3 linked regions of the Cricetulus griseus genome follow. The protein of the gene in region 1 interacts with the protein of each later gene in a pairwise test. Links are inferred from orthologs where the notes say so. Each region holds a gene or a part of one and is shown on either strand. Other genes may lie near its edges.

What was found.
Region 2: the proteins of Prpf31 (region 1) and Ccdc57 interact in binary tests that used the Homo sapiens proteins (3 or more experiments, as listed by UniProt). The two-hybrid records come from large-scale screens. The link is inferred for Cricetulus griseus from reciprocal best matches to the Homo sapiens genes PRPF31 and CCDC57.
Region 3: the proteins of Prpf31 (region 1) and Mkrn3 interact in binary tests that used the Homo sapiens proteins (3 or more experiments, as listed by UniProt). The two-hybrid records come from large-scale screens. The link is inferred for Cricetulus griseus from reciprocal best matches to the Homo sapiens genes PRPF31 and MKRN3.

What each region holds. Positions count from the first base shown.
Region 1 is NC_048602.1:21,549,081-21,553,609, reverse strand, and holds part of Prpf31 (U4/U6 small nuclear ribonucleoprotein Prp31), read right to left. Parts: intron 3,753-4,529; coding exon 3,669-3,752; intron 3,106-3,668; coding exon 3,008-3,105; intron 2,286-3,007; coding exon 2,179-2,285; intron 1,914-2,178; coding exon 1,744-1,913; intron 121-1,743; coding exon 1-120. UniProt on the Homo sapiens protein: Involved in pre-mRNA splicing as component of the spliceosome. Required for the assembly of the U4/U5/U6 tri-snRNP complex, one of the building blocks of the spliceosome.
Region 2 is NC_048600.1:133,406,168-133,410,141, forward strand, and holds the start of Ccdc57 (coiled-coil domain-containing protein 57), read right to left. Parts: upstream 2,801-3,974; 5' UTR 2,626-2,800; intron 1-2,625. UniProt on the Homo sapiens protein: Pleiotropic regulator of centriole duplication, mitosis, and ciliogenesis. Critical interface between centrosome and microtubule-mediated cellular processes. Centriole duplication protein required for recruitment of CEP63, CEP152, and PLK4 to the centrosome.
Region 3 is NC_048596.1:135,056,081-135,060,367, reverse strand, and holds Mkrn3 (probable E3 ubiquitin-protein ligase makorin-3), read right to left. Parts: upstream 2,801-4,287; 5' UTR 2,686-2,800; coding exon 1,105-2,685; 3' UTR 185-1,104; downstream 1-184. UniProt on the Homo sapiens protein: E3 ubiquitin ligase catalyzing the covalent attachment of ubiquitin moieties onto substrate proteins.

The DNA.
Region 1 (4,529 bases):
AGCCGGTGTGCGGCAGCACTGAGGTAGAGGAGAAGCCCGACAGCGTCTTGCGCTGGGCTCCCAGCAGCATGATGTTGCAGGCAGGCATCTTGGAGAGATTGGTCAGGCCTCCGGCCACACCTGCAACAACAAAGAGGCGAGGTCGGAAGAACACAGGTTCACACCACACCTGGGGGCTCCCGTGGACCTTGGTGGTTTGAGTAAGAATGTCCTCCGATGGCTCGTGTATCTGAATGCTTAGTGACCGGGGAGCGAAACCTCTAATTAGATGAGAAGGGTTAGGAGGCGTGGCCTTGTTGGAAGAAGTGTGTCACGGGGGGGTGGGCTTCGAGGTTTCAAAAGAATGCCAGATCCAATCTCTCTTTATGTTTCCAGATCAGGATGTAGCCCTCGGCTGCTTCTGCAGCACCACACCTGCCTGCTGCCATGCTCCCTGCTACCAAGCCATGATGACCACGATAATAGCTTTTGCCTCTAAAAGTGTCAGCAAGCCCCAGGTTGGGTTGGTTAAGTGCTTTCTTCCAGAAGAGTTACCTTGACCATGGTGTCTCTTCACAGTGTAGAACGGTGACTAAGACAATTTTGCACCTTCATTCGTTTGCTGGTTTGAGACAGTATTCTGTAGCTCAGGACCTCAAATTCAAAGCAATCCTCCTGCCTCAGCCTTCTAAACACTGGGATTACTGGTCTAAGCCACTTCGTCTGGAAGGCTACAGGATCATTTATGTGTATGTGTGTGTATGGGGGCAGGTTACTGTAGGGAGACACCGTAACCACGCCCTTCAGGATGTGGTCAAGGTGATGTCAGGGTGGTTTTAAAGGGACAGACAAGGCACATGGGAGCTCTCTCGCCTTGCTGCTTTGGCACCCTCTGGCTTGCTGTTGGTTGGCGTTTATCTATTAAAAGTTATCCTAACCTTCTGGATTCAGTATCAGTTATTCACCGCTTTAGGTTATTTTTATATGTGTGTGTGCATGAAAGCAGAGGACACTTATGGGACTAGCTCTCTCCACCTTCGTGTGGGTTAAGAGGATCACACTCAGGCTGTCAGGCTTGGGTGGCAAGGACTTTTCCCTGCTGGGCCATCTTTCTGGCCCAGGTCATAGAATCTTTAAGGAGAGGGCAAAGATAAGATGAGGTCATACGGATCCCGATTCTATCTGACTGGCATCCTTGTGAGGAAGGGAGATGAGGCTGCAGATACAGCAGCATGGCTGCATGAAAATACAGAAGGCATGCCCGAGCCAAGCAGAGGCTGAGGGAGAAACCAACCCCAAAAGCACCTTGGTCTCAGACTTGTCAACTCTGAAACAGCACCCTCGGGAGTGTAAGTGTCCTGGCCTGTAGTCCTCAAGACCACAGCTAAGGGACCAAAGGTGGTGGCTTCCCCACATTCCCTTTGTGAGCGAGCATTCCCTGCAAGGAAGGACTCCGGCTACCGGAGCTTCTGGGAGGAGGAACTTAGCACATGACAGGATTGCTGCCCTATCCAGTAGGAAAGCCCGAGGGTCAGGAGCTGACTTTACTACTCTGTGGATGCCCCAGGGTCCAAAATGGACCCATTGGCGGGAGGAGGCTCCTTCTTCAGCCAGCTGTACTCAGAAGGGGCTGCTACACTTTTATCATTTGCTATGCCAAGCTGGCTGACTTCAGTCTCCAGATGACAGTGTAATAGAGCCCCTAATGTCAAGCCCCACTTCCCCAGGACAACCCCAGACCATGGGACCCAGCTGGGAACTCACCCATGATCTTGGCAGCTGTGGATGCCCCAATGATGATGGACAGGTTGGGTGCGATGAACGACATCCGGGACTCCACGTACTCGTAGATGCGGTGCTTGGAAGCATTCAGCTCCAGGGCCATGTCACAGGCCTCCTCCAGGCGCTCCAGCTCCTCATCCGACAGCTGCTGCCTGAGTTGGGAAGCAGGGAAGGGTTGGGGCCGGCGCCCAGTTCTGCTGCGCGCTTGTCTAACGGGTGTCCAGCCCCACCCATCCTCTCGGTTCTGTATGCGTGTGTGTCTGTGTAACTCTGGGGCTACCCCAACTTCTATCAGCCTAGGGACCACAGCTCTCAGCCAGCACCACCCTCACCATCAACCCCATTCTGCCCTTTCTGGTCTCTGCTGCCAGCTGGCCTATGGTAGGCTTGCAGCGCCTTACCGCGTGGTATACGTACCCCTGGGTGGTGGATGCGGTGACACTGACGACCATGATGGTAGCATTGGTCAGGATTTGCTGGAGGTTCTCATTGTTCTTGCACTTGTCCAGGCTGTTGCCCAGCTCCTGGGGTGGGAAGGGGAGAAAGAGAGAGACCGTAGTAACTCCCAGAAGATTCTAGAAGCTCTTTTGCTTCAACACGAACACAGGGCTCCCTTGAGGAACCCGGGAAAGCTAATACTGGAGACCTCTCTTGCCTCTTACAGGTTGACAACTTCACTGCTGAAAGCATCAGCACTGCCTGCTCTGCTGACCCAGAAGTGGAAGCTGGGCAAAGTGGCCTTCAAGGACGACACGCTGCACTAAAGAAGCCTGCGGGAGCTCACGACTAGAGACGGACTTCCTCGGCTCCCACCCTGACCTCCTGGACAGAGGCAGGACCCCTGCTCTTTCCCCTCTGCCTGCTCCTGTCATTGCTCCCAGGGGAGCCCAAACCTTCTGTGTGTGATGTGCTCTGACCTTTCTGACCTGTCAAGCTCCCCTCCCTGCCTCTTCTCACTTCCTCCTCATTTGTTCCCACTCAGGATCTCAGCTCTTATCTCGCTGCGGCCTCTGCCAGCCTTCAGAGGCTAGTTCAAAGGACACCTGACCCAATGACAGCCAGAGGCAAGGGCCAGGCCAATGGGGATCCTCCCACAAGCTAAGGGGAGGAGAGAAGCCAGAGGTGTGTGTGAGACACCCTGTCCGGCACCTGTCCCTTCCCACTGAGCCCCGGCTCACGCCTCTCCATCGTTTTCTAGATCCCGAGGCTTCACGCTGCTTCCGGGACCAGACTCCTCCCCACTCACCTTGACTGTGCGGATGTAATCCAGAGCGTTGGGAACCAAGGATTCTAGCTCCGGGAATCTCTTCGAGTACTTATCCCGGATGAACTTATGGATAATGTCTAAAGTGGACAGGGAGGGTGGGTGTCCGCTGAGGGAGGGGGAGGCAGACTCTGCTGCTATCCCCAACACCCACTTCCGCCTCTCTAGTGAACAAGCCCAAATCTTGGGTTGGTGCATGGATGCCAGCATGAAATCTACATTTCCTAGCTGTCCCCAGGGCTATGTGCAGGCATGAAGTCTGTTCTAATGTCTACAAGATGTGAACTCAATTGGCATTTTCCACATCCAGACCATGGCCTTAAGGAAGCAGCCATGCCCTGTCTTCCCTCCCCATTTGCTGGTAGGGACGTGAAATGAGGCAATCACCCTGGAGCATGAAACCAGTGGCAGAGTCTGGTGGCTGAAGGGGTCAAAGGGTGACTCTAGACCTGCTCTGTTTACTTAGACTTTCAGGAAGGAGAATACACTTTCTCTTCATGTAAATCAGTCTGTTACAGAAGGTAAACCTGGTCAGGGCAGTAGTCGAAGAAAGGCAAACAGAAGAGGTCCAGGTTCATGCCTATTCTTCCCTTTGCGTCATAAAGAGGGAAGGGCACACAACAGGGCTGTCCCCATCACTCACTCAGCTCGTTTTCTATCTCCACGGTCAGGTTGTTGGCATCCACAATGACTCGGTACTCGGGGGCTGCCTCCACTGGTCCCATCACTAGGAAGGGGAAGAAGGAATGTGGATGAGAGAGGGCACCCACCCGTCTGTAAGTCACAGAGCTAGGGAAGACTGGAGCTGAAGCTGGCTGGATCAGAAAGGAGGGGCTGAAGCATGCACTAGGGACTTGGAAACCTCCCCAGCATCCTCATTCCTGCCTCTCCTCTCTCTCCTGCAGGCCTCCTCTGGGCTAATCTAGTCTTGACCTCATCCTGCTTTAAAACTAAACCCTCCTGTGGCTCTCCAAAGCCCCGAGGCTAACGAGCAAGCTCCTCAGACTGGCACTCAAGGTCTCCCATCTAGATGGAGGCCCCACAAGGAAGAGTACCGGGCCCATGTCCCCACATCTGCAACCTTGGTGCATACAGCACAGGACTCACTCCAGGGCGAGCCACTGACTCATCGGCTCCACACAGCCTTCCTGCCTCATCTTCTCAGACACTGGGCACTCAAGGCTATTCCATTCCTCCAGGCCTTCATGAGCACTGTTCCCTCCCCCTGGAATGTTCCTTCCTTGAGTTCTCTTTCTAGAAACCTTAATGTATGCCTGATTATATTGGCATTGAATAACATGTGCATCCAATAGCTCTTTAAGTCATTAAAACTCAGAGGGCAGTGAAGACACTTCCCTCCCCTTTTAGAAGGATGAGATGTCTTCTCTCCATGCCATGACTTGGGCCACCTCTGCCAGACATGCTGTGTGTCTACTGCCATTAGACAGATCCCTGACATGAGCAGGTCTAACTCATCACACCTGACATGAGGAAATGTCACTTT
Region 2 (3,974 bases), on another chromosome or scaffold:
AAAGTGAAGATGATGGGGGTTGCCTCACCTATACTCAAATCAACAATAATCAACCAACCACAGACATAAAACTCATAATAGGGGCAGGGGGACCACAGGGGTTTGCTTTTGTGTTGTGATGTACGTATGCATGTAGGAGAGGGCACGGTGCGTGTGTGAAGAACGTGGCATTATACGTGTTGTCTGTAGGCTATGTGTATGCATGTGTGGTGCTGTGAAGGTATGTGAGTATGTTATAGCAAGGTGTGTGTGCTGTGTGTGATGTAATATAGGTGAGTGAGTTCAGGTGAGTTAGGGTATATTGTGTTATGTGTTTACACCAACTTCAGAGTTCCTAAGCCAGTAGCTGCTCTTTTTTAAATATTTTATTTATTTATTATGTATACAGTGTTCTAGAGGGCACCAGATCTTATAGATAGTTGTGAGCCACCATGTGGTTGCTGGGAATTGTGAACTCAGGACCACTGGAAGAGCAGCCAGTGCTCTTAACCTCTGAGCCATCTCTCCAGCTCCTAGGTGCTCTTTATATAAGCAAGGATACTACTTAGAGAAAAGTTCATTCATGAAATTACTGATAACAAAAATTAGTTACAGTCGGGCTGGAGAGATGGCTCAGTGGTTAAGGGCACTGGCTGCTCTTGAAGAGGGCCTGGTTCCTTTTCCAGAACCCACATGACCACTCACAAGCATTTGTAACTCCAATTCCAGGGGCTCTGATGCCTTCCTCTAGAGTCCACAAGCTCCTTCGTATATATGGTTCCACAAGCATACACACAGACATAAAATAAATGAAAATTTAAATTACAGTCCAAATCATCAGAACTAAAGAAACAAGAGTGCATTTCACAGGAAATAATGGATTTTTCCATTGGACAGTGGGCACAGCTTTGTGGCAGGTCTTCCTGTAAATTCTAAATCACCTAGAACAGGGCCTGACAGCTGCTCTGTAATGGACCAGGTAGTTAGTATCTGCCAGGGGCTTTGGGTCATGCTAAGTGCTCAGGGATTGGTTGGTTTTCTGCTCAGGGGCAGGACAGATCTGGTTTTGGTTTCAGGGCCCAAGTGTGTTTCTTTCACTGGTCCTTTTTAGCCTTTTGGCTCTAATTTTAGGGCCAGGATGTATTTCTTTCACTGGCTCTGATTATAGGGACAAAGCACGTTTCTTTGGCACTGGTTTCAGGGTCAGGGTGTGTTTCTTTGGTTCTAGTTGCCAGGCCAAAGTGTGTTTCTTTTTGGCTCTGCTCAGGCTGTGTTTCATCAGCTGGCCCCTTTTCCCTCATATGTTTTCTTTATAAGACTTGCCTTGGTCAGGTGTCTCTTCACAACAATAAAACAGTGACTAAGACAATGGGCTTATATTGGTCTATTTCTGAAGCTAAGGAGTAAATTCCTGCCTGGTGCTCATGGAAGAGTTTCATAAATAATTCCAGGATATAGGTGGAAGGACAGTGACCTGTGAGGTCTGATCTGTGGGGACATCAATAATCTCATTCTTCATGACAAGCCCCAGGCCTGTGTCATCCTGAATCCCTTGGAGCTGCTGAGTCTCCTTCACCTGCTATCTTCATGGAGGACTGGCCCTGTACCCAGACAGGAGCCCTGGAGAATACATTCTGTGCCTGTTTTCTGTGGCTCTCCCAGGGCCGCAGATGCCAGAGCAGTGGTTGAAACCTACTCTGATCCTGGTTCTAAATAAAGACCTTTGGAAACTAGATCCCAGTTTATCCTGAAAGGTCTGAATGGTTTATTCGGCTAACTTGTGATTCCTTTTCTCTACCCAACATAGCAAGAATAAAACATGGCTGGGTGGTGGTGGTGTATGCCTTTAAACCCAGGACCCAGAAACCAGAAGCAAGCAGATCTTCGAGTTAGAGGCCAGCCTGATCTACAGAGTGATTTTCATAACAGCCAAGGCTACATAGAGAAACCATGTCTCGAAAAACCAAAACCAAACAAAGCAATGAAAGAATAAAACGTGAAATTAAATGAAAAAAATCAGGAAGTTTTCACTGATGTATGCTAAAATTAGTCACTGAAAACACGGCTAGAAGCAGGACTTTACACAAGCAAGCACCTCCCCCGAAAGGTATTTATTATTTATAACGGGAAAATAGTAACCTAACTTTGCTTATTTAGTTACTTTTTTTGAGACAGGGTCTCTACTTAGCCATGGGTGTCCTGGAACTATGCAGACCAGACTGGCCTCGAACTCAGAGATCTGCCTGCCTCTGCCTCCCAAATGCTGGGATTAAAGGCGTGCCCAGAAGAAAACAGTAACTTTATGATAGCCATTTGATAGACACCACTGTCTCCTGGGAGGCACGAGGGCAGAATGCTAAATGTTAGTAACTCAATCTTATGTTAAATATCGGGCCAGCCGAGGATGAGATGCAGTCTACAAAATAACGGACTTATGAAGTCAGCGGGGCAGCGCGGCGCTGATCCAGGCTGCAGAGCAGGGGGAACACTGCGGCTAACGTGCTGATTCGGGGCACCCTGCACCCAGTGCCGCTGCCGGCCTCGCGATGGTCGCCCGAGGCTACTACTTCCTGAGGGAGGCGTCTGGGGAGCCTGGGTCAAAGCCCCACGGGAGCCGGAACCTGAAGCGATGGCCATGCCACTCACCCCGTGCTCCATCGGCAGGGCCCAGCGAAATCCTCGTCGCCTCCCGGCGCGCGACCAGGCACCGCGCCAGCCCGCTCTGGGGCCGCCGGGATTCCGAGCGCCAGCACTAGCTCGCCCGCTCGCCCGCCCTCCGGTCGCACCTCTAGCGCGGGCCACGTTACCATAGCGACTGGAGTCCGCGGCCTGGGTCCGGGTGCACTGTGAGCATCGCTCCGATCCCTCCGTGCAGAAACAGGAACCCCAACACAGAGTTCCGACCTCCGCGGGGTCCACACTGGCATTGAATAGGGTTTGCTGACCTGTGGGACTCCCTGAGTAGTGCAAAAGCCCGCACCTGTGGCGCTCTGTGTCCTCCCCCCAGGTGGCCTGAGGGTCCCCAGGGTGCCCATCTTGTAGCCCCAAAGGGCTAATTTCATCTGCGAGGAGGCGCCGGCAGGCGGACGGGCTGGGAGCTCAGGTGGAGAGCCTGCGAGTCGGGCGTGGGGAGTTGCTCCGTGGACGCAGATCTTTCCTGCATTGCGTTAGTGTAGCCTGCACTTGGGACTATGGCAAGGGTGCAGTGGACTGCACATGGCAAGGTTGGAGGGAGGTTGCACCGGGGGCCGATCACCAGGCGGGGAGGGGGGGCGCTAAGTGAAGGGATCGGTCGTACTTCGGAGCTCTGGGTGAGGGGCCACATTGAGTGCTCTCCAGGGTTTGCCCTGATACCTCAGGCATCAAAAGGTGAGCGTTTATGCAGGACCCAGGCTTTCATGGACTAAGTAGAGTTGAATGGAGTGAAGCAGGTTACTGGGAAGGGCCTGCATGAGCCCAACATCAGGCTTGCGTCTGTTGCAGGCGTGCCTCTGTTTCTGTCTTAGCTAGTCATTTAAATCCTCGGGTTATCTGAGGGCCAAGGAGATGGCTCAGTGGATGGGCGAGCCTGATGACCAGAGTTGCTCTCTGGGACCTACATAGTGGAAGAAGAAAACCAATTCCCTTGAGTTTTTCTCTGACTTCCATATGTTGTGGTGTGCATTCGCACCATCACACAAAATAAATAAATAAATAAATAAATAAATAGGTAAACTGTGTGGCCCAGCCCTGGGTCAGAAGCCAGCACTGACTCACACACCTCAGCCAGCACAGTTCCCAAGGGATGGGGAGTGTCTGGGAATCCCGTGCTCCAGGAGGGCAGCATCCAGTGGTCTAGCGTCATTCCTACTTTCCTGCCTTACATTCTGTAGTCTTCCTAACCCCATCAGTCTTTCCCTTGTACTCGCTGTTCCCACTTCCTGATAGCATGCTTGGTGCTTGATCTGAACCCTCCCCCAGACAGCTTGCCTTTGTCCTTCCGCTGCTATCTCCTC
Region 3 (4,287 bases), on another chromosome or scaffold:
ATTATGGTTAACATTTTAAAATTCCCATGCCTCATTTTTATTTCATTCTTATATTCTGACTAATTTCAATATTTATTACCATCTTCTCTGATGGTCTTATAATTTTTTATCATGAAAACCTTTGTCAAAAGTATTTTGCGTCTAAAGTATAAAAAGAACCAGATAAGAAAAATGAGACAGTGGCTACAATCAGAGGCACATCCATTTTATGATTACAACAGAGAAATTGTGAATGCTATCACAGGAATTATGAGATTCATGATTTAAAAGTCTTTTAAAAAGAGTCCAATACACAAAGCAGTCATTTTTATTAGATGCTAATCACTGACATCAGTGCAGGGGCAGAGAAATTGTCCACAGAATTCACACACAATCCATACACTTAGAATTTAACATTAAGCTTTCAGTTCTGCATTTATTTCGTTACTTCAAACATATATATTATGGGGTTTATTTGTTTCCAATTTCTTTCAAATACATCTTTGTATACATATACATATACGCATATATATCATTCTTAAATATATATTTCCAAATATAAATAATTTCACATCAAGCCAAACAGGATAAAAACATGTAAACATATGCACCTTATTTTGGTCAAGTAAAACAGAACCACAAAGTAACCACAAGTTAACAATTGCACTTGAAAGAGAAGGGAAGAAACAGACATGTAAACAAACACAGACAGCAGCTGCAAGGCCCTGTAAGGTTGCATTTTTAAGGCTATATAGCAAAAAGCTCATAATTTAAAGACTTTTGTCACCTTGTCACATTTACTCTTAAGGGACTTCACAATGAGAAACTGTAAACACTAGACTAGAAGTGATTGAATCCTGTTGGAAAAAGACACCACAAGTCATCAGCTGACAGAAATATTAATTCCACCAAACAATACTTTTAAGATTTCTTCTTATCTTGTAACACAGAGAAACATCACAATCCTAGTGAGAAGAAATGGGAAATAGAAGCGAAAACAGCAGTACTGCATAAAGATTGCCACAACAGCCTTTGAAAGCAATAGGGTTGTCAGTCAATAGAGGGAAGTAAGCAACAGCAGACAACAGAGCCTTAGCAGACTAGACCACATGCGATAGCATGATACTACAGATTCAAATTGAAATACTCTTCCAGCTGGAACTGAAGCAAGAGCCACCGGTCATCAGAGAAGGAAAAACTGCCTCTCAGGCAAAGCAACTTCTTAAGCAACTGATTGCCCAGGCGAAGCACAGCAAGCTCCTTCTTACGGCTTTTGAACAGCACTTTTCCCTCTCGCAACTGCACAGGCTCCAAAACTTGATGCCAGTATGCGTTTGACGATCCGCCACCACCTGGCCTCGGAGGCTGATCTCTCCAGCCCTCAGGGTATTCATGCTTGTAAAAACAGTACTCTCCAAATGGGCAGTGACCTAGGCCTCCAGCAAAATACCTGCAGGCTTTCTGGCTCATCCCCTCCTTATATTGCTGCACAAGTTTCTCCTTCTCCTCTTCCTCCTCCACCCAGAACTCACTAGGAATGACAAAGCCAGAGGAGACCCTGCACTGTGGGCAGGACTTACTGATCCTGTTCTCAAACTGTGTGGCACTTCTCCACCTGCGGATACACTTAAGACAGTAGGTGTGGTTGCAGCTGAAAAGGATGCCAAAGCGGCGGTCGCTGGGGTCGGCTTTCTCATAGACAACCTCCATGCAGATGCCACACACTTTGTCCATGCTGCGCTGCACAGCAAAGGAGAGCTCCATATCTCTCTCATGGGCTTCAACGCAGGCCCTTCTATGAGCTTCCTGCTGGGCCGCATCCCAAGGGTGCAAGGCCTGCTGCCCACACATGTCGCATATTTCTCCATGGGGGTATGCACAACTCGCCCCGCGGAGGCACTCTCCCCGGGCAGCATAGCGGCAAAGCGGCAGCGGCGCCCCCATGCCCATAGCCATGTGCTCTCTCTCAACTTCCGGGCTCGCCAGGGGAGCCTCGGGACCATGCGGGGGGATCATGCGACCTCGGTAGGGCTGTCCAGGAACAAACTCAATTGCCCCCTCCCAGCCTTCAGCACCCGCTCCTCCCGCAGCAGCTGCGGCTAGGCCTGCATTGTCAATCTCTGCTGCAGAGAAGCCCCTTTCACCAGCTGAGCCAATGCCTGCATTGTCAATCTCAGCTTCGGGGAAGCCCCTTTCAGCAGCCGAGCCAATCAGAGGCAAAGAGCTGGAGGATGCAGTAGGGGGGGCTTCCGCCTCTTCCTGAGTCGGGGGCTCCCTGTGAGTGGCCATCTTGGGCCCTCTATCTGCAGAGGCCCGAGGCTGAGAATCTTGCCCCCCCCTAGCTCTCCGCCGCCCAGAGAGGTCGTGAGAGTAGCGACAGTGATCGCCCTCCTTGCACTGCCCATGCAGATAATACCTGCAGAGGATCTGCTTTGTCCAGCTGCCGCTGTGGTGGTCGGAACCAGACCTGGCTCCGCCCCCTGCGGGCGGAACGGGCCCCAAGCTCGCCGAGCGTCGGTTCTCCGGCCTAGGAGCCACAAGGCGCTGTGCCTGGCCCGATGCCTCTGGCGGAGAGGCCGAAATGAGTACCTCGGAAGCTCCAGAAGCCTCCAACTCGGGAGGGGGGGGGGCGGACACACCCGCCCCCCCCACAGCACCTTCCTCGGCACCTGGGGCTGCACCAGAGGGAGCTGTAGACTCTTCCATTGTTATGCGCCCCTGACAGTGTCCAAAAACTGTCTAATATTATATCTTTTTTGTGCTTGAATCGGCGGAGCTGGAGCTGGACCGATCGGCTGATTCTCGGAGGGAAGTGCACCAATTTTTGTCTTCCCACCAGAAACCCGCCCCCTGTGAACTTTGGTTCCTACCCGCAGAGCGGCAGACGGACACTTCCGGTGGGGACACCAATTGCCGGTGTGAAAGCGGAAGTTACTTCAGCCATGTTTTTCTCCCGCCGCTATCGGCTTAGGGACCCGCGGTCCGCGGTCGGCCGCTCCCAGCGGGATTCGGGAGCCCCTAGCCCGGGTTTCCACACCGCCCCCCCCCCCCCGCAGGATTCGGTTGCACACACCGCATTTCATTATTTTCTCTTTGTGTGAGGAAACGCCATTGTCGCCGCCTGTGCCGCGACTGCTCTTGGAGGTTTTTATGGCGTTTCACTCGCACACGTTACAAATCATTTCCCTGTCTAATCGTCTTTTGTCTATGGGCGGCTGAGTTTTAAAATCCGGGAGTGTCTCTGCCGCGGCTTTTGTGCTCCGGCGGGTGTAGAGACGGCAGCACTTCTCCGGGGCTGTGTGCCCCTGAAGGGTTAATTCAGTGCGCTTGAATCCCAAGGGGACCCTTTGTGTGACTGGAGCTATTTAGCGCCTTTCAGACCCCTGCCTTTGTTACTGTAATCCGCCCAGCAAAGTAGAAGCCTGGGCTTCTGCCAGCATTGATGATGGCTTAATAAAACTCCGAGGGGGACACAGGTTTTCACTTTTCTCCGCTGGCTGGATTCAGGCAGACCCTTTGTTTGCCGCCTTACTTTGCATCCTGCACTAGGCTTTCAAAATACCAGCCTAACATGTCTCATTTCCATTGCCACACTGAGTTATTAGTTTGGGTGGGTTTTTTTTTTTTTTTCCTAATGTTACGCATCTATTCTATTGGGCTAATAATTCTTATATGTATTTCTAAAACGCTAAGTGTACTTCCCCATGGTCACACAATGACTTTTTAAATGTAGTTTATGCTGGCTTTTAATTAATAATCACGCTTTTTTCCCTTCCCCTACGTACGTGATTATTTGAATTCGCAATGTTCAAATATTTAATTTACTCTCCTTCCTTATCTAAAAATAGGATTTTGCTTCCCAAAACAATTTTATTAGAGGGAATCTTATAGCCTAAATTTAAAGAAACTCTTAATGTCTACGATATAGTCATCCAAGTCAAAGTGTAAGTCGCATCTAAACAAAGCCAACAAAACAATACTAAACAAGTAAGAATATTATCAAACAATAGAAGTAAGAAAACCAGGGAAATGAAGAAAAATAAATATGAAATAGGGAGAATAGAATGACCAAAATGATTAATGTGTAACTTATTAAGAAAACTAAAAAGGCACAGATCACCAATACCACATTTTTAAAAGAGCTGACACTAATAAGACTTAAAGCCATGAAATATTTTTAGTACCAACAGTATATAGCAAAACTTAGAATTATCAGATGGCATTAGATAAAATATTTGCACATGAAACTTGCAACTTTTCATTAAATGGTTACTAATGGAAACATCCATTAGTAAAAATACCAGAAAA